Tamandua tetradactyla: one gene and its partner. The protein of the gene in region 2 purifies or fractionates together with the protein of the main gene of each other region. This does not show direct contact. Links are inferred from orthologs where the notes say so. Each region holds a gene or a part of one and is shown on either strand. Other genes may lie near its edges.

The links.
Region 1: the proteins of CAND1 (region 2) and DCUN1D3 purify together in Homo sapiens (affinity purification with western blotting; 3 studies listed by BioGRID, with this or other methods). This does not show direct contact. The link is inferred for Tamandua tetradactyla from reciprocal best matches to the Homo sapiens genes CAND1 and DCUN1D3.

The regions. Positions count from the first base shown.
Region 1 is NC_135349.1:36,581,637-36,590,552, reverse strand, and holds the start of DCUN1D3 (DCN1-like protein 3), read right to left. Parts: upstream 3,699-8,916; 5' UTR 3,598-3,698; coding exon of another isoform or gene 3,435-3,597; exon of another isoform or gene 3,381-3,434; intron 3,350-3,380; exon of another isoform or gene 2,891-3,349; intron 2,668-2,890; 5' UTR 2,592-2,667; intron 1-2,591. Other genes in the region: LYRM1 (LYR motif-containing protein 1), read left to right, coding at 3,435-3,597, 5,055-5,119. UniProt on the Homo sapiens protein: Contributes to the neddylation of all cullins by transferring NEDD8 from N-terminally acetylated NEDD8-conjugating E2s enzyme to different cullin C-terminal domain-RBX complexes and may play a role in the cell cycle progression by regulating the SCF ubiquitin E3 ligase complex, after UV damage.
Region 2 is NC_135333.1:135,242,580-135,251,356, forward strand, and holds the start of CAND1 (cullin-associated NEDD8-dissociated protein 1), read left to right. Parts: upstream 1-4,986; 5' UTR 4,987-5,723; coding exon 5,724-5,791; intron 5,792-8,777. UniProt on the Homo sapiens protein: Key assembly factor of SCF (SKP1-CUL1-F-box protein) E3 ubiquitin ligase complexes that promotes the exchange of the substrate-recognition F-box subunit in SCF complexes, thereby playing a key role in the cellular repertoire of SCF complexes.

The DNA of each region.
Region 1 (8,916 bases), on a different chromosome or scaffold from region 2:
CAATCTGGTTAAGGTGAAGCTGAAAAGCTGAGGACAATTTAAGATGAATGGCCACAACTAAAGGCAAAAATAAGTTACATCCCTTGGTTACAGCACAGCCCAAAGATGCCAACGTGGTGGAATTTAGCCCTATAATGGCCATTTACCTAATGTAATCCTGAGTAAACTGCTAGCATCAACATACACCTCCTCAGAATACTGTATGTCATCAGAAGGACCAGACCAGAGTGAGCTGTTATGCAAGAACTGCCTTCCTACAAAAAAAAACTTCAAACTTAGATCCTGATGGTCATCTTTGTAGACCAAGAAGGGCAAATTATTATCACCTGCCCAATCCTTCAACCCTAAATTCACACAGAACTGAAAGAAAAGGAGGATTCCTATACTACAACAAATTCAGAATATTTACTATGCGATTTAAAATAACAGCATATAATACATAATCCCTTAATGAAAAAAGGTATGCCCTCAATCGAACATGCCACTGAATTTTGAACACATAGGTCTTCAAAAATAGGTTTATCTGCCAGAAGAAAACCAGGTGACCAATGCCTTTCCCTCTCCCACTCTCAGCAGGGTGACTTTTTATTACAATAGACTAATAATAGTACCTGCAAAAAAAGTAAGCAGTAAGACTCTAGGAAAACTGATAGAATTAATCAAAAAGGACCATCAATTTTCTACTTCCTTCCCCTGCTTGCTCTTTATTTTGCCAAGCTATTCTGAGCCCCATCCTCACCTCTCAGACCTTGTCTCTTTTCATTCTTTCCCTTTGCTCACCAAGCTTTGACTATTACTGCCACCTCCTTCCTCATCTCCCCATCCCCCATCTCACTCACACCCCCTTTCCCCAGTCTCTGGATTATGACAACCTCATTCCAGCCAGTTTTTGCACTAGCTGTTCCCTCAACCTGGAAGGCTCTTCCCCTTATCCATGCACGGCTGGCTCCTTTAAATTTAAAGCTTACTTAGATATCACCTCCTAGGAAAGGTCTTCCTTGACTACATCCTTTTCAGACACTTTCTATCACATCACTTTTATTTCATTCAGCACTTATCAAAATCTGATTTATTTATTTATTTATTGTCTGTCCAGCCCTATCCCTCCCATCCCATATAAGTTCCATGAGAGCAAGGAACTTTTGCTGTGTATGCCCAGTGCATAAATAGGCTAGCACTCAGTATTCATTCAATAAATGTTTGTTGTTGAATGAATGAACATTGGCCTTTTTATTCAATGGCAAACATGGTTACCAATCAATTAGTTCAGTTCAACTCGTCATTCTTTTCTAACAACTAACAACCACATTGTTTTTGCACAATACCAGGCACTAAACATTCTGTTCTGTCAAGGCCTGTGATCACTGATAAGTTGGGGGGGGGGGAGAGGGTTCACAGCATCAGAATCCCACTAAAATAATACTTCTAGCCATACACACATCAAAGTCAGTTATACAGAAGGAGAATTTATGGACACGTGCTAATCAAAAGACCCCTAAAATTCGAGCACTTTTTTTAAAGTTCTTCAGAAAGCACAGTTCCAGACTACACAGAGGATTTCCAAAGAAAATAACGCCAAAACAGGAATTATGCTTCACTATGAAATATGTATGACAGGATAGAGGAGTTACTTGGTGATATTTTTTAAACCAACAATATCAACAAAGAGACCTTCTCTCCAATCATTCTTTGTTTTCTGAAAACAACTTTTCACTAATTTTAGTCTTCTTTAAAACAAAACTAAACAAATCATACCTTCTCATTTAAGACCACCGTATACACAAAAATCAGCTAAATATGATGGGAAGCAGCAAAGTCAAGTATCACTGGACACTCGTGTGCCAGACACACTTATGGAGAGATAAAAGTGCTACTGTCCAATTGTGGAAACAAAAAAGTAATATGGGGTTTTTCTATTCTCTGAAGTGCATAATCAAGTGTGGGTGGAGAGAAACACAGAAAACCAGAATTAGACCAACATCAAATCATTTTGTAAAGAATTGATCACATGTAAATTTCCCACACAAACTATTCAAGGCAAGAGACCTTGATTCCTGGACTATAATACCATTTAGGAATCCTTGCAGGGCTTTGGAATTCCAGTATTCATAGAAGAAAATGCTCGTTATAATCGGGACCTACCAGGCATTGAGAGGTACTCCCAATGTGAAAACTATTAACTGAAGTATAACAAAGCTTGCAGTTAAGAGCTGGGGTAGGGGCTGAACACCAAATTTAAAAGAAGTAACCAAGACATTAAGTGCCAGTTAAACAACAACAACAACAACAAATACGATTGCCACCCAGCCACAGTGAATTAAAGTGGAAACGAAGGGGAGGAGAAGGGGTGAGAGGAGTGGAAAAAATATTTGTCACCCTGTCCACTTCCTAAACAGGATACAGGCAAAACCTCCAGTGCTATTAACCTCAGGCACAGATGGTTATCGTTCATAGCAAAGGTGTACAGACAGGTCTTCAGGTCTGAGCCCCTTAATTCCAGGGCTGTTAATGATTAAAGAGAAGGATGGGGGTGGGGAGGAAAATGAGGGCGGAGGGAGCGGGAGACTCACCCACCATCTCTCAGGACTTACCCGGGGCACAGGACCAGTCTGCACCTCCTTCGGGGCAGCTCCGGCCCCGGATTCCCAAGCACTGGGTTGAGGGGTACTGGCGGTAGGGAGATAGGGACAGTAGGTAAGTTTTCTGAGCTCTGCGGCTGACACGCCACAGGCTCCCCTCACAGCCTCTTCTTCCAGAGAGACCAGTCCGGACCAGGCACTGATTTCCACTCCTCCCCTTCCACCACTACCACCCCCTTCTCGATGGTACCCAACCCCCGCCCCTTCAGTTCTCAACGCTCCCCCCTTTTCCTCACTCCCCTCAAACTCACAGCTGCTCCAGAGGTTCCTCCAGTCAAACCCTTTCTGGAAACGACGGCGGCCCGGCGGGCCCAAGCCACCTACCATACCCGCTTGCGTTCCCAGGCTCCCTACCCCCACCGCCGCCGCCTCTTCTTCCACACTGCCACCGCCTCCTCTTCATCTGCGGCCCACCGGCGGCGGCCGCCCTGAGGCCCCGCCCCCTCCATCGCCTCCTGCATCATCACTTCCGGTAACCCCACCGGCTGCCGGTTCCAGGAGGGAGAATAGAGAGGAGAGGGGCGGGGAGGGTGGAAGGTTGCGTCATGACGTACGCAGCGACGTACGAAGCCGTCGCCAAGTAAGGGTAAAGACCTAGCCGCGAGGAGAGAGGGCTAGGAGGAGCTGGACTGGACCACTCTTTTAGCTGGAAGGGGGGGAAGGGAAAAGGATGGCGAAAGAGGTCAAGAGAAAAATAGGGAGAGGATAAGGTTGGCTATATTGTTGAGTATAAGTCTGAGGGTGGGGTAAAGTTAGAAGTTCACGGAGGATTGAAACTAATCCTGAGGTGGGAGTATGCTCCCACAGAGGTCCGCCAACTGGTTTGGTCCGACTTGGCCTACCGGACGTGCCAGAGCTCTGTCCACCGTGCTCTACTGGGCTCTCGGCGCGGCCTCTTCGCAGCCCGCCGGGGGCTTTGGCACTTCTGTGGGTGGGGGAAAGGCAGGACTGACGCAGAGTGAGTGTAGGGGATGGAGATGCTGACTCCAGGAGCGGGACACTGGGGGAAGGAGGTGGCTTCCCGGGGTTAGGGATGGGTTGGGGGTGGGGACGCGGCGTTGCTAGGAGACTCGCTTGTGTGACCCCAGCCTCGCGGGGGCGGCTGGGTGTCATCGCCTCTGGCCTTGGGAAACTGCCTCAGTGGGCCAGGAAGGGGAGGCCTGGTTTGGGGCTCATCTGAAACTTCTGAATCTTTTAGATTACTGAATATAAATGACAGATGTAGGGGCGATTCCCTTCCCAGCGTGCTGGGAGCAGGAGGTGTCTGGCTAGGGAAAGTTGACCTAAACGAGGCCCCGTAGAGGAGCAGAAACATTCTAGGACAAGTGAGCACCAGCTTCATAGTTTCCTCCAGCACAAACCTAAGAACAAGACAAAAGCCTTGATCCATGACTTTCCATTCGAGTAAGAGAGTTAACATGTAAATCAATAAACAAGATATCAGCAAGTGAGAAATGTCCCCCAAAACAGTAATACCGAGTGAAATGACAAAAGGGTAAAGGCCTACTCTAAATCAGTTAAGGTTGTTCAGAGCAGGCGACGCTTTTGCCCAGAATGAGAGCAGTGGAAAGACAGGAGAAAAGCTCTCTACATGGAGACTCGAGCCAGCAGAAAAGTTCTAAGGAAGGAATTGGAGTCGGGAAGGTTTTGTGGTTGAAGCAGAAAGCAAGGGGCATTGTGGTCTGTGATGAAGTAGCCAGGCTTTTTAGGCCACGGTAAGGGGAGAGACCAGGTTTAAATCTTTAAAGCATCACTCCGGCTGCTGGATAGAGAAGGGTGGTAACAGTCAGACCTGTTGGGAGGCGGTTGCAGTGGGCCTAGGGAGAGGTGATACTGGTCATGTAGAAATAGCATTATATTGAGAATATGTTTTGGAGGTAAAGCTTGCAGGATTTGCTGCCAAATTGGACTTAAGGTGTATGGGAGAAGGAAACATCAAGAATGATTCCTATTGGGGAAGACCAGAAAGAAAACAGTTTGGAAAAGAATATTACAAGTTCTCTTTTGAATATATTAGGTTTTACTGGAGTACAACTACAGCAGTGACATGCCAGGGAGTCAATCTTTGGATTCATGTATCACAGTTTGATAAGTCCACTAGCCATCAAAGAGAAAATGTTAAGAAATTAGATATACAAATTAGGGGAAAAGTCATAGTTGGAGATTACAAATGTGGGGGTTGTCAGTATAGATCATCTAGAAAGAGGCAAAGAAAAGAGGAAAGCCCAGGCTAAATTTCCTGGATTCTCAGCATTTAGAGGTTACACGGAGTAAAAGAAGCCAGAAAAGGAGACTTTGATGCAGACAAGGCCTCAAGTACAAGAGGAAGACCCCTTCAAATCCTGGAATAATGGGACCCATCCTTCTAATCAGTGAAACATCCCCTGACTGACCAGATTCTACTCATCCTCTAAGGTCTGCCTCAAGTCTCTGTCCTCTCTTCCTCTCCCAGGTGTCAGTGCTTTTGGACTTCTGCACAGGTAATTGCCTCCATTATAGCAAGCCTGACTTTACATATTATTTGTTTATATGTCTGTCTCCCCCATGGACCCTAAGCTCTTTGAGAACAGGAACTGTCTTTGTGTCCTGCTGGCCCCTAAGGATACAGAGCCTTGTACATCATGTGGCTGTAGCTTGGTAGGAACAAAACAGTTAAGAACTCTGCATTCATAAATTATCAGCCATGGAATTTGACAGCTTCTGATAAAGGGGTTTTTGTCCCTGCCACTGCTGCCACTATCACCACCATCACAATCTAGATATAGCCAATCTCATGAGATAATGGGAAAGGGTGTCTATCAGAAGACCAGCTAAAAGAATGGCCTTACCATTCTTTGAGCTGATGGAGTTGGCCTATGTTAGAGATTGCAGACTCGCAAGACAGGTTCTGCCCACAAACATTGTTCAGCCCACAAAGTGATTACAATTCTTTGTAATTTACTTGCCAACTTTAAAAAATTGGACATCAAAGTCCGGATTTTCAGCCTCTTTTGAAAAATCAATCTGGCAGCAACAGGCATGAGGCTCCTACACATCAAATGAACTACTTCCCCACTTGCACGTGACTCATTCTTGAGTTTGCAGTAACTTACCAACTGGCCCTATGGGTGATTTTTTTTTATTTTTCAAAGAAAAGAGATTTATGTAGTCAGTCAAAAAACCGCTGGGGTCATTTTTTTAAATAGCTCTTTTTAAAATTGATACATATTATATATTCACATACCATGTAATCATCCAAAGTGTACAATAAGTGGTTCACAGTATCATATAACTGCATTTATCATCACAATAAACTTTTTTTTCTTTATTGTGATAAACAGCATATACAAAAAAAGCAATAAATGTCAAAGTACATTGCAACAATTAGTTGTAGATCAGATTTCAGAGTTTGATATGGGTTACCATTCCACAATTTTAGGTTTTTACTTCTAGCTGCTTTAATATATTGGAGAATAAAAGAAATATCAGTATAATGATTCATACCCATTTGTTAAACCCTAACTTCTCTGTATAACTCCACCATCACCTTTGATCTTTCTCCAGCTCTTTAGGGGTATTTGAGCTATGCCCATTCTAACTTTTTCAGGTTGGAAGGAACTGTCCAATAATATGGAATAGGGGGACGGAACTAGTTGATGTGTTGATGTTCTGAAGAGGCTGGCCCTTCTGCATTTGAGGACTTATCTGGTCCAGAGACTCAATGGGTATTTTGAATTGTATCCCTTGGTCTAGAGCTGTGTTGTCTGATATGTAGCCCCCAGCAGCCTGTGACTATTTAAATTTAACAATTAAATAAAATTTAAAATTCAGTTCTTTAGATGCACTAACCACAAGTACCCAATAGCTACCGTCGTAAGTTCTTTTGGCCAAAACTGTGCCAGAGGACCTCTAAGTCCTGGGTGCTAGTCATTCTGTGCAATTTTAAGGAATTGGAATATGAAATGTCAAAAGGGCTTCAGTTCTAACTCTACAAGCTGCTGGAGTGACTTTCTAGCACTTGACCCTCAATGTAAGTATTTGATAAATAACGGTTCTCTGTGCAGGGGTCCTTGCCTTCATAACAGCTTCCAAGTACCTTCTACCTATCAAATAATTATTAAGCAACTATTCTCACCTGCAGAGGCACTGAAGCTCTTCACTAGACTAAGTCCCTGGAGAATAGAAGCAATGTTTGATTTGTCACCTATACAGGACCCAGGCAAAACCTCCAGTCCTATTAGTTCAGGCACAGATGATTTTTGTTCACAGCAAAGGTGCACTCTTGTCTGAGCCCCTTAGTTCCAGGGCTGTTAATGATTAAAGAGAAGGATGGGGGTGAGGGGGGATATTCATTTTTTGTCCTCTCTGACTTTCCTAGATCCTGTGGAGGGTCAGAGATCCCAGCTTAGTAGTTATGAACCAAGGAGTGGGGTTGGCCTCCATTTCCTCTTTTTTTCCAGCCCCTCCCATAAACCTCTTAGGCTGTCTTCTACTTCTCACCATCCACTGACCCTTCCCTGACCTTTGTCTTTTAAAATATACTGATAAGGAAACAGATATTTCCATTACTTTTTAAAATTGAGAGACCGAATCTTGGTTTCCATTCAGTATTTCTATCCCTGAGGGAAGAAATAGCTGTTCTTTCCTGGTTACAGTAGCTTTATTGGAGTTTCCCCTACCCAAGTGTAATCTTGCGTCTGCTTCAGTTACTGACATGGTATATTTAGAATGGGTGTACTTCCCTCATATGCTCTTGTTTGGAATAGTTATTTTAGCAGTCTGTCAGACATGAAAATATTTTGTTTTTCCCTGTATTCTGAAGATTTCCCTTTTCACAGAGCCTAACCTAATTTCTTTTCTTTTAAGTGAAATAAAAATACAATCTACCCTTTCCTCACTGCCCCCTGTCTCTGACACACCCTATTCTTGTCACTTTCTGTGTAAAAAGATGCTGTTTCAGAGAATAGCTGTGGTATGATTAAGTCCACACAGCATATTCTGAGATTTGCAAAATACTGTGTGGCAACACTTCCCTTTTTATATTCTAGGAACCAATAATTGAATCCAAGACAGGAAACAAGCCTATGGTGTGTGTGTGTGTGTTGCACATGTTAATTGATAGGGATGGGAAGAGGGGGTAAAGAAAACAGGGATATGTGAGATGCCGTTTAACGGGAACATTGTTCGCTTTGGATAAAGATGACGCAATATAGGATACAGGTTGTATGCTAAAAAGTAATGAGTGTATCAGATCTGGGGGGGAAGCACACCACAGAATAAGGGAGGAGTAAGAGATAAAGGAAAGAAAATAGGGAAGTGTGATGATGCTTTTGGTGTTGGCACCTGCATTGTATTTCCAGTAAGAAGCATGAGCTGTAGTCTGAAGATAAAACAGTGCCTGCAATAGGGCTATTTACTCATACTAAAGAACAATAGCCCTTTACTGTACAAGGATTATTAATGATCAGAGGGAAAGGGCATTAGGAAAATCCATTACTAACACAGAGCAGTAAATTGGCCAACAGACAACACTTTGCTTTTCCCTCTTCTGCAGACAAAGCACTGGATAGATAAAAGGCTTTATTGTTGCTCCTTTATTTCCTCCCATTCTAGTAACTTTTGCCTTTAACTCACAGTGCTAAGTGAATTATCTCATGAATAATCCTTAGAATAACTTTTTGAAGAAGAGTTTACATTTTTTTAAGAAACTGAAACTGAAGGTTAAAAACATGTCTTTGGGGTGAAGTCAGGATTCCAACCCAGGCTTGACCATCCCAGAACTCCTGCATTCATTCTCTGTATTATATTTTCCTGTCTTGTACAAATGTGGGAAACTTTAAGTGCCTAAAACCAAGACAGTCATTTCCTATTGTGCTGTCCAGAGCAAAAAAACCTGATTGCTTTGGCATTATTAAGAGTACTTCAGTTCTCTAGAGGTTTCTAAATTGACAAAAGCTTTAAATTGCAATTTTCTGGGTTGTTTTGAACTCTGATCATTGGATACAATAGACATTATTCCCCAAAGAATTATTTTCAAGGAAAAATGTGTGAGAACCCCATTTTTCTACCTGTTTGGTTTTAAGCATCACAGAAACATGGTAAAGCATTTTAGTCTAGTGGTCATAGCCAGTGACCTTAGAACTAAGAGTGTAGGTTCTATCAGTATCTTTTATTACCCTAGATGGAACTAGGCCTACCCCCAGAAAAATAACGCTGTGATTTCAGTTCCTTATCCTGACCCCCACATCTCTTGAAAACATCATTGTGAGGGTTAATTAGTATTTGCAAGTATTCTGAG
Region 2 (8,777 bases):
TGTCACTAAGGATGAGCGGGAAACAATTGACAAACTGTGTTTTGAAAGCCATGATTAAAAAACAATACAGAAATAAACAGTTCATGTTGGGACCCCAGTAACTTTAGATTATTTTTTTCCTTGGTTGGTCTTTTGCTGATCTATGCCCAATTGAGCAGTGGAAGAAAACTGGAGTGAAATGGCAGGTAGAAAGGGGACTCGGCAGAACAACAGTCTAATAAATTCCCTCTATGTAGGTAGCAGTGGCAAGGATGCATGGGCTGCCAGGTCAGTGTACAACTGCAAAGTAAGGTGGTTTGAGCCCTCTAGAGTTTGCCACCTGGAGGGCTTATAGGGTACTCAGAACTGTTATGTCAGGGAAGTGTGCAATAGTGAAGCCTCTGTGAGATACTTCAAGTAACTTACAGTGCTGTCTCTTACCAAAGAGTCACATTCAGCTGTCAGGCAAACAGTCAAAAGAGAACTGTAACTATACCAATTAAATAAAGAAAATTTGCCTCATCTCTTATCTTTTCCTTTGCCATTCTCCTCAACCTTAGAGGATCTAGAAGTAGAAGGGGATATTTAGCTGGCCTTTGGACTAAACTGGATTGGACTTTTAACACTGAAGGGTCTAGAAAGTTAGGGGGTCTAAGATATCACTAAAGGCAATGGAAAATATTTGACAGGGTACCTAATAAACAAAATAACTAGACAACATTTCAAATTGGTAACCCAACAAGTTCAGATAACTCAATGACTCAATTACATAACATTTTCATTGTCCTTTCTTTATGGATATGTATTTCTTAATATTCATCTCACCTCAATTCTACCATAATTAAAATTTTAAATACAATGCATCTATTTAACATCTATTCCTTATTTTCAATATAGAACATAAATAGAAAACTATTCTGATTATATACTTAGGGTGAGAATTTTTCTTAGTTTTGCCTAAAATACAGTAATTTTTTAATATGAAATTTAAGATTTGATCAACATGAAAGGTCTTCAAGGTTAAGGAATATGTCTTATTCACCTTTACATCCCTACTGTACAGTTCAGTGCCTGGCATTGTGTCAGCAGTCAGTAAGTGTTTGTAACTAAGCCAAACTACTGTTTAATATTAAAAGAAACTCACGACATCTTGAAGGATTCAATTTTTCCTGCTCTCTCATCTTAATTTTCTTTTATGACCACTGACTGGAAAAAAAACTCTTGGAGGTTAGCCTTATTCAGACTTATTTCCTTTTGTACCTAAAATTAATTTAGCATTAACAGATCCTTAAGTGAAAGCACTACTCCACTGTTTAATAACATTCTATATTAAGTGATATAAAAATTAAATCTCTAAGTGGTCAAGAATACAAAAAATTAAATACTATTAGCGCCCATTACAAACTTGCCATAACTAAGTACCTGAAAGAAGCAGAAGGGGTTTAAAGATGGTACATACTCTTTTTTTTTAAATTGTAAAGAATAACAAACATATAAATATTGTTGACATAGAACATTCTATACATGGTATACGATCAATATTATCACATAGTTGTGTATTCATCACCATGATCATTTTTTTGAACATCGCATCTCTCCGGCAAAAGAAAGAAAAAAGAAAAAAGAAAAAACTCATACATACCATACCCCTTACCCCTTCCTTTCATTGACCACTAGTATTTCAATCTACTCAATTTATTTTAACCTTTGTTCCCTCTATTATTTATTTTTTATTCAGATTTTTCACTCATCTATCCATACTGTAAATAAAAGGAGCTTCAGACACAAGGTTTTCACAATCACACAGTTACACTGTAAAAGCTATATCATTATACAATCATCTTCAAGAAACATGGCTACTGGAACACAGCTCTACATTTTCAGGCACTTCTCTCTAGCCTCTCTAATACATGATGAACTAAAAAGGGGATATCTATATAATGCATAATGATAACCTCCAGGATAACCTCTCAACTCTGCTTGAAATTCTTAGCCACTGAGTTTATTTTGTCTCATTTCTCTCTTCTTCTTTTTGGTCGAGAAGGTTTTCTCAATCCCTTGATGCTGAGTCCCAGCTCATCCCAGGATTTCTGTCCCATGTTATCAGGGAGGATTGATCCCTGGGAGTCATGTTCCATGTAGAGGGGGAAGACTGAGTTCGTTTGCTGTGTGGGCTTAGAGAGAGAGGCCACATTCGAGCAGCAAAAGAGGTTCTCTGAGAGTGACTCTTAGGTCTAATTTTTTAATTTTTACTTTTTTTTTTTTCTGGGGTGCATGGTCTGGGAATCTAACCCGAGTTTCCCACATGGAAGGCAGGCATTCTAACTACTAAACTACCTATGTATCCTCTCTTAGGCCTAATTTTAAGTAGGTTTAGCCTATCCTTTGCAGGGATAAGTTTCATAGGGGCAAACAACAAGATCCAGGGCTCCGCCTATTGATTTGGTTGTTCCCACTGCTTGCGAGAATATCAGAAATTCTCCAAATAGGGAAGTTGAATATTTCCCTCTTTTCTCACCATTCCCCAAAAGGGAAAAGATGGTACACACTCTTAAAGAACTTATGCTTTAGTGGTAGTGAACTTATAAACACTGTGATTGGTTCAAGACCGTAAAAAGAGGGATAGAGGAGAGGGAACGCCTTCCAGGCTGGGAGAAGAATTCTAGAGTAGCAGTTCGAAGTTTGAGCTATGAAGCAACATTGCTTAGTTTTGAATTCTAATTGAACCTTGTTGGTGACTTTTAGTAAGTTACTTAACCTCTTCATGCCTGATACTTATGCCTTTATACTTAAAATGTATAATTTCATAGAGTTGTTCTGAGGATTAAATAAATTAATACAGTGCTTGATCCATAACTTTTTTTATTATAACTATGTACCGAAGACTTGTAGTTGGGTCTTTAGAGGGACTCAAAACAAACAAAAACAAAAAGATAAAATAAAAAATAAAAAGCTGGTGGGGGCAATTCTTGTATTAGAATAATGGGAGAAAGGTAAAATATAAATGATTAGGGTCAGATGGAGGCACTGATTGCTAAAACATATGGACTTTATTCTGCAGTAGAAAGATATAATGTGTTAAATAGGTAACACTACAAAAACGTTTTGGACAACCCTAAACTGGCTGTGTAGAATGGTTTGGGAATAGGAACAAAAGCCTGAAAGAATATAATAATGATAGCTAACTTTTATTAGATGTTTTTCTGTACCTTTCTAAGTGTGCAAGATGTATTAGGTATAAATATTATTATTGTGTTCCAGGTCAAATGCTAAGGACTTATATGGGATATCTTATTTAACTCTTAAAATAGCTCTGAAAGGGGGGTGCAAGGGAGCTCAGTGGTAGAATTCTCTCCTGTCATGACGGAGATGCGGTTGGATTTCCAGAGCCTTCAAATGCCAAAAAAACAAAAAACCCCCAGCCCTGAAGATTAATTGCCCAATCATTTCCTTAGCTTGAAGATACTGAGGGCTCAGAGAGATTAAAATGAACTACCTAAAATAGCAACCAATCGGCACAAATATTTATATTTAAGTTCTCTGACTCCAAATATATTTCAGATGGAAACTGATAAATGCAAGGATTTACACATGAAAAAGGACAAAAGATGACTTGTGTCTGATTGGATATAGGTTAAAAGGGTTACCACCAGATGCCTAAGATTTTAAGCCTTGGAGTCCACACAAGAAAAATGGCCTGTTTGTGCGTGTGATGTGTATGTACAGCTTATTAAATATTATTTGACTGTTCAATATTATTACTATTGTTTAATATTATTAATATTGTAATTATTAATATTGTTTAGTATATTATTAAGGACTGTTCAGAGCAGAAGGGAATTAATTTGGCTGGAGCACTCAGGAAATGTTTCATTAAAGAAGTCCTAATGATGGTAGACCTAAGTAAAATGAGGAAAGAGCTATGGTATCACCGGGGAGGAAAATAGTATTAAAGTAAAAACATACATGGGGATAGACAAAGGGTAATGAGAGGAATTTAGGTATATAATGTGAGGCCAGATCAGATTTCCTATGTTGTGTTAACTGTCATTGCCTATAACAGTACCTGGCTTTTAGAAACAATAATATTTAACGAATGTAGTTGAAAGAAAGATAAAGAAATGGTAGATTTTATTTGTTTTGACGTACTTAGAAGTAGGGAGCTATTTAAAGGCTTTTTTTTTTAAACAAGAGGAGAAACAACGAGACATCATTTTCCTTCTCCCTTCACTGCCCTCTCTACTTTTTCTTTTAGAAAAGTGTGTCAGCTAGCTCCAATTCTACCTACCTCAAATCCATAACAAAGTTTTAGGTGTTTATCTCTTGGTGACAAAATTTATCTCAAAATCCAAAGTATTAAGTAGATAAAAACTTGGATAATAAAACAAATGATTTGAATATCTAATCTCCGAAGGCTTTTTGTGTATATTTGGGGGACAATAAAATACACAGCTGCAGGATTATCAACTATATAACAACTGACTATAGAAGGTAGTCTTTTAGCTGTTCTGAAAAAAACGGGTAGGCTTCGAATACAATCACCTGTCGTTGGCCCATTAGTTTTAATACGGTCCTGCTTGCTGTAGGGAGGTGCTCCACGATGGCAAGAGGTCAGTGTGTCCAGCAGGCAAGGAGGGCGAGCTGGCGGGCTCAGTGGCCTTTTGAGGATGAGGATATTGTTAGTCGCTAAAGGCCTCTGCTAAGAATACCAGGATTCATGAATCCGTAATGCCCCTTCCCAAACTGCTACAGCCAATTCTGCAAACATCCCTAAACAAGAAAGTCTGTTAGGAGAAACCCGAATTAGCCGCAAAAACCCAGCACGTGGTGATTCAAAGATTCCATCTAGCACTGCTGCCTTGCCAGACTGCAAATCCCAGCAGTTACTCCTCCCACGGAACCCAATTAGGACGCTATAAGTTCCTGCAGCCAATGACACTCTGACCCAGTGCTACCCCGACTGAATTCTGGGATTTGTGGTTTTCACGTGGCATTATTACACCACGATGAAAGGCCACGCGTCAAATCGAAAGGAGAGCTCCCGCTAATAATTCTTTTGTTCTTATCGAGGCTAATATCTTAACTAGCACTAATCTCAAATCTTATGATCCTTAAAAATCGTAAACTTTATTTTCTTAATGCCATACACAAACAGTCTTCAAATTATTTTCAGAGTAGTGCTCGCCTCTCTCCTTTAACCGTTGCTTTAAAGTATCGCGAGAACATCCCAGTTTGCTCGTAGTCATGCCTCCAAAAAGGCCGTTCAAGCGAAGACTGACTTAGACATCAGCCAATAGGAGTGCCCTTTAACTAGCGTCTCTGAAGCGTGCGTGGAGGGGCCTACGTGAACCTTGACCCGGGCTTTCCGTAGCGTCCCGCGTCTGTCACTCCCGCCCCCGCTGGAAAGGAGGCGGGTTTTGGCCGCTTGCTCCACGGAGCGAATTCGCAGAGTGAGAGCCAGGCAGGCCTCAGTGGAAGTGTCTGGATCTCTGGAGCGGCCTTGCTGTATTTCCCCGCCTCTCATGGCCTCGTCCTCCCGCGAGCAGCGCCGTCGTTAGGTCGGCACCGTATCCTTTGCTTCCCTCGGGACAGGCCCACGCTTCGCCGGGGAGGGGGTAGCCTTCCTAGGCGCCTCCCTAGTCAGCGTCGGCGTCGCGTTGCGACCCTGGGAGCGGGAACCGCCGCGAGCGAAAGGAGGAGCCCCAGCAGCAGCAGCGGCGGCGGGCGGGATCGAGGCCGTCAACATGGCGAGCGCCTCGTACCATATTTCCAATTTGTTGGAGAAAATGACATCCAGCGACAAGGACTTCAGGTGAGTCCGAAATCCGTCTCTAAGCCCATCTCAAGGGCCCTCATTCGAGACCTTGGCCTTCTGCGCTGGTCTTGCCGCACCTTTTGGGGCATAACCTGTTTCCTCGTTTTCCCCTAAGTCGGCAGCCTACCCACTCACTGATCCTATCCGGCCCTTTCCTTCCGAATGCCCCCCGTCACTTCACTCCCCCACTTTTCCTTTAGGCCGTTGTCCGTTCTGGCCCTAGGTCCCTTCACTGTACGTCCTCAGTCGTCCCTACCGCATTTCCTGTCTCCGAGACGTAATTCTCACGTCCCAGGTAGCGTGAAGGGGTGAAGACACCTGCTATTGTTGGGGAAGGGGAGTGCTAGGCCTGGAGACTGGGCAGCCTGGCCTATCCGCCGGCCTGCCGGAGGCGCTAGGCCGATCAGCCCGCTTGGGCCCTTGCTATTGCCGGCTCGGGGACCCAGCAGCAGACTCCCTTCTCGGAGGTGTGAATGGACTGGCTAATTCAGCTTGAAAGATGAACTTTTTTAAGTTCTCCGAGGATTGAGTTACATACATATTCTTTAGATTATCTCTCTCGGAGAAGGTGTAAAGAGAGGGGAGGGGATCCAGGGTAGAGGAAACTTTGCTTGTAAGGTTTTCCCGCCAGCATCTCTGTCAGTTTCCCTTGTCAGGTTAAACCTCAGCCTGAACTTGGGTTTTCAGTAGAGTATATTTATATCCAATATCACTGCCGAATGGGTGTATTGCTGAACCCTAAACAGAAAAGTAAACCAAGCAAATGGGTCTTTTTGAAAAAAGAGGGGTTTTCTTATATGAGGTTGGTGAATATGAAATTTTATTATAGAGGTTCTGTTCCAGGGAACTAGAACTGTCGGTTCCAAATTCTTGATAAAATGCATGTTGAAGAATATTCCCGGTTACCTTGGTGTCTTTCTTGCCCTCCATTAATTGTTACATTCCTTTCTTTCCACCTCCCATCCGCTCATAAATTAGTTACTAAATAATTCAATCTAAAAGAGTTTTTTATTTTTTTAATCCTTTAAGTTTTGTTCTCACAGTACTTGGTTGTCGTAATTTGCGTGCATTTTAAAAGAAAGAAAAACTATCTCCAATTAAATATTATGGCTGAAGAGCATATACCTGAAACATGCTTAAATCTTATCCAAAGGAAGGAAATTTTCTGTTTTGTTCAAGTAGAACCGTGAAAAAAAGCAGTGATTGCGTTCCTAATTAAATTGATGAACTGGTGTAGTAAAGTGACCAAAGAAGTTCATACAGTTTGGTTCTGTGGCTTCAAAATCAAATATGGTTTTTAAAGAGTTTGGCTAACTGAAATTTTTTAAGTATTGTATTTGAAACTTGGGAAGACTCGTTTGCTAATACTAAATATTTTAGTGCTTTGACTATTTGGAAGTGACTTGATTATTTTGTAATATTAGATATGTGTAGCTCTACAGCAGAAGCCTAAAGGGAGAAAGATAAGTTTTTTAAAAAAATATTAAAATGCTGTTTGATTTCCTTCGGAGTTTTTCTTGCTCCCTATCTAAATAAACATTTGCACAGAACGTATATAACTAATTTATTTAACATATGTGGTGTGATTTTCCACCGTTTTCTGTCAGTTTGGCTCAGCCTGTAAAAGAGCTAAGTTTCATCCTGATTATAGTCAGTTTCTGTAGAAAGGTAGTCAAGTATTTGGTAACTTGCTTAGAAAGACTAAAGAAATTACATGATGGGGTGATACTGCATAGGTGATTATGTACTGGGAAGCTTCTTTAAATAACTTCTTAAACTTCAGGTAAAGATTTATACATGCTTGTTTTTATTTTATAAACTCTATGAAAAAATATTAATCCTCTGATACTAAGTTATATTATAGTCAGTGCTAAAATTAAAATGGTTTATCACCCAATCTGGGCTTTAATGATTCAAAACATTTCTTAGAAGATATGTTATTCATCTAAAATTATATCGACATATTTCGAAGAGTTGCTGAATATTGTAGAAAATGTTTTTAGGAAAGGTAAATAACTTCCAGTAATTTGGCATCATTATCATTTTTATTAACACTTTTTAAAAGACTTTAAAAAAAACTCTAGCCATTCATTTAACAGACAAATCATTGGAATTAAAGTGCTGTGTATATTAAACTACAGACATTTAAGGATAAACTAAAATGGTGAACATTTAAAGACAAGTATTTCTAGGATTTTCTGCATAATTTCAGTACAGGCATTTGTTTTAACATTTTTTTCATAAGTGACGTATTTATTTATTTGGTGTAGACATCACAATTTGTCACTATATGTGTTAAAATACTTTATGACAGAGGGTCTTGATGACCAGAGTAAACTAACATTATGGAATGCCTAACATTGTACAGAACGATCTTCTTTGTGCTAAGGGGAGGAAAAGAATAGTGCTTCCCAAAAGAAGAAAAAATGGTCCTCATGACAGAGAATTGGACCTACTCAACGCAGACATGAACTATCTGTGAGATCCTGGGCACATTACCTAATTTGGGATTAAATTGTCATTTCTGAAAAGATTGCACAATGGAATTACAGAAGATCTCTTATGTGTCTCCAATTTTAGGTCCCTATTTAGGTATCTACATAGTCCATTAAGAGAAAATGTAAAGAAATGGGCCCAAGGTTCAGAATTTTGACATTTCAGCATTCTTGAAGATTCCTTTTATAGGATTTAAATTATAGTCTTAGTTTATTGAAAAAATTGCACAGTATCCCTTTTCTTTCGTGCTTTATATTCTACATTCTTCAAAGGTGAGCTATTAGGATTTAGGAGAAATGGGGAAACAATAGAATGAGAAATGTCAAGGTTAGGGACTCCAAGAGAGGGCGTTTGTGTTTCCTTTATGCCAGGATAGTGCCTATCAGCTACTGTCCTTGGTCTTTTGAAAAATTACTATTACTTTTTAAATTATGTCAGTTCAGTAAACTTTTGGAAGAGAAATGAAGAAAAAAATTGTTTGAGAACA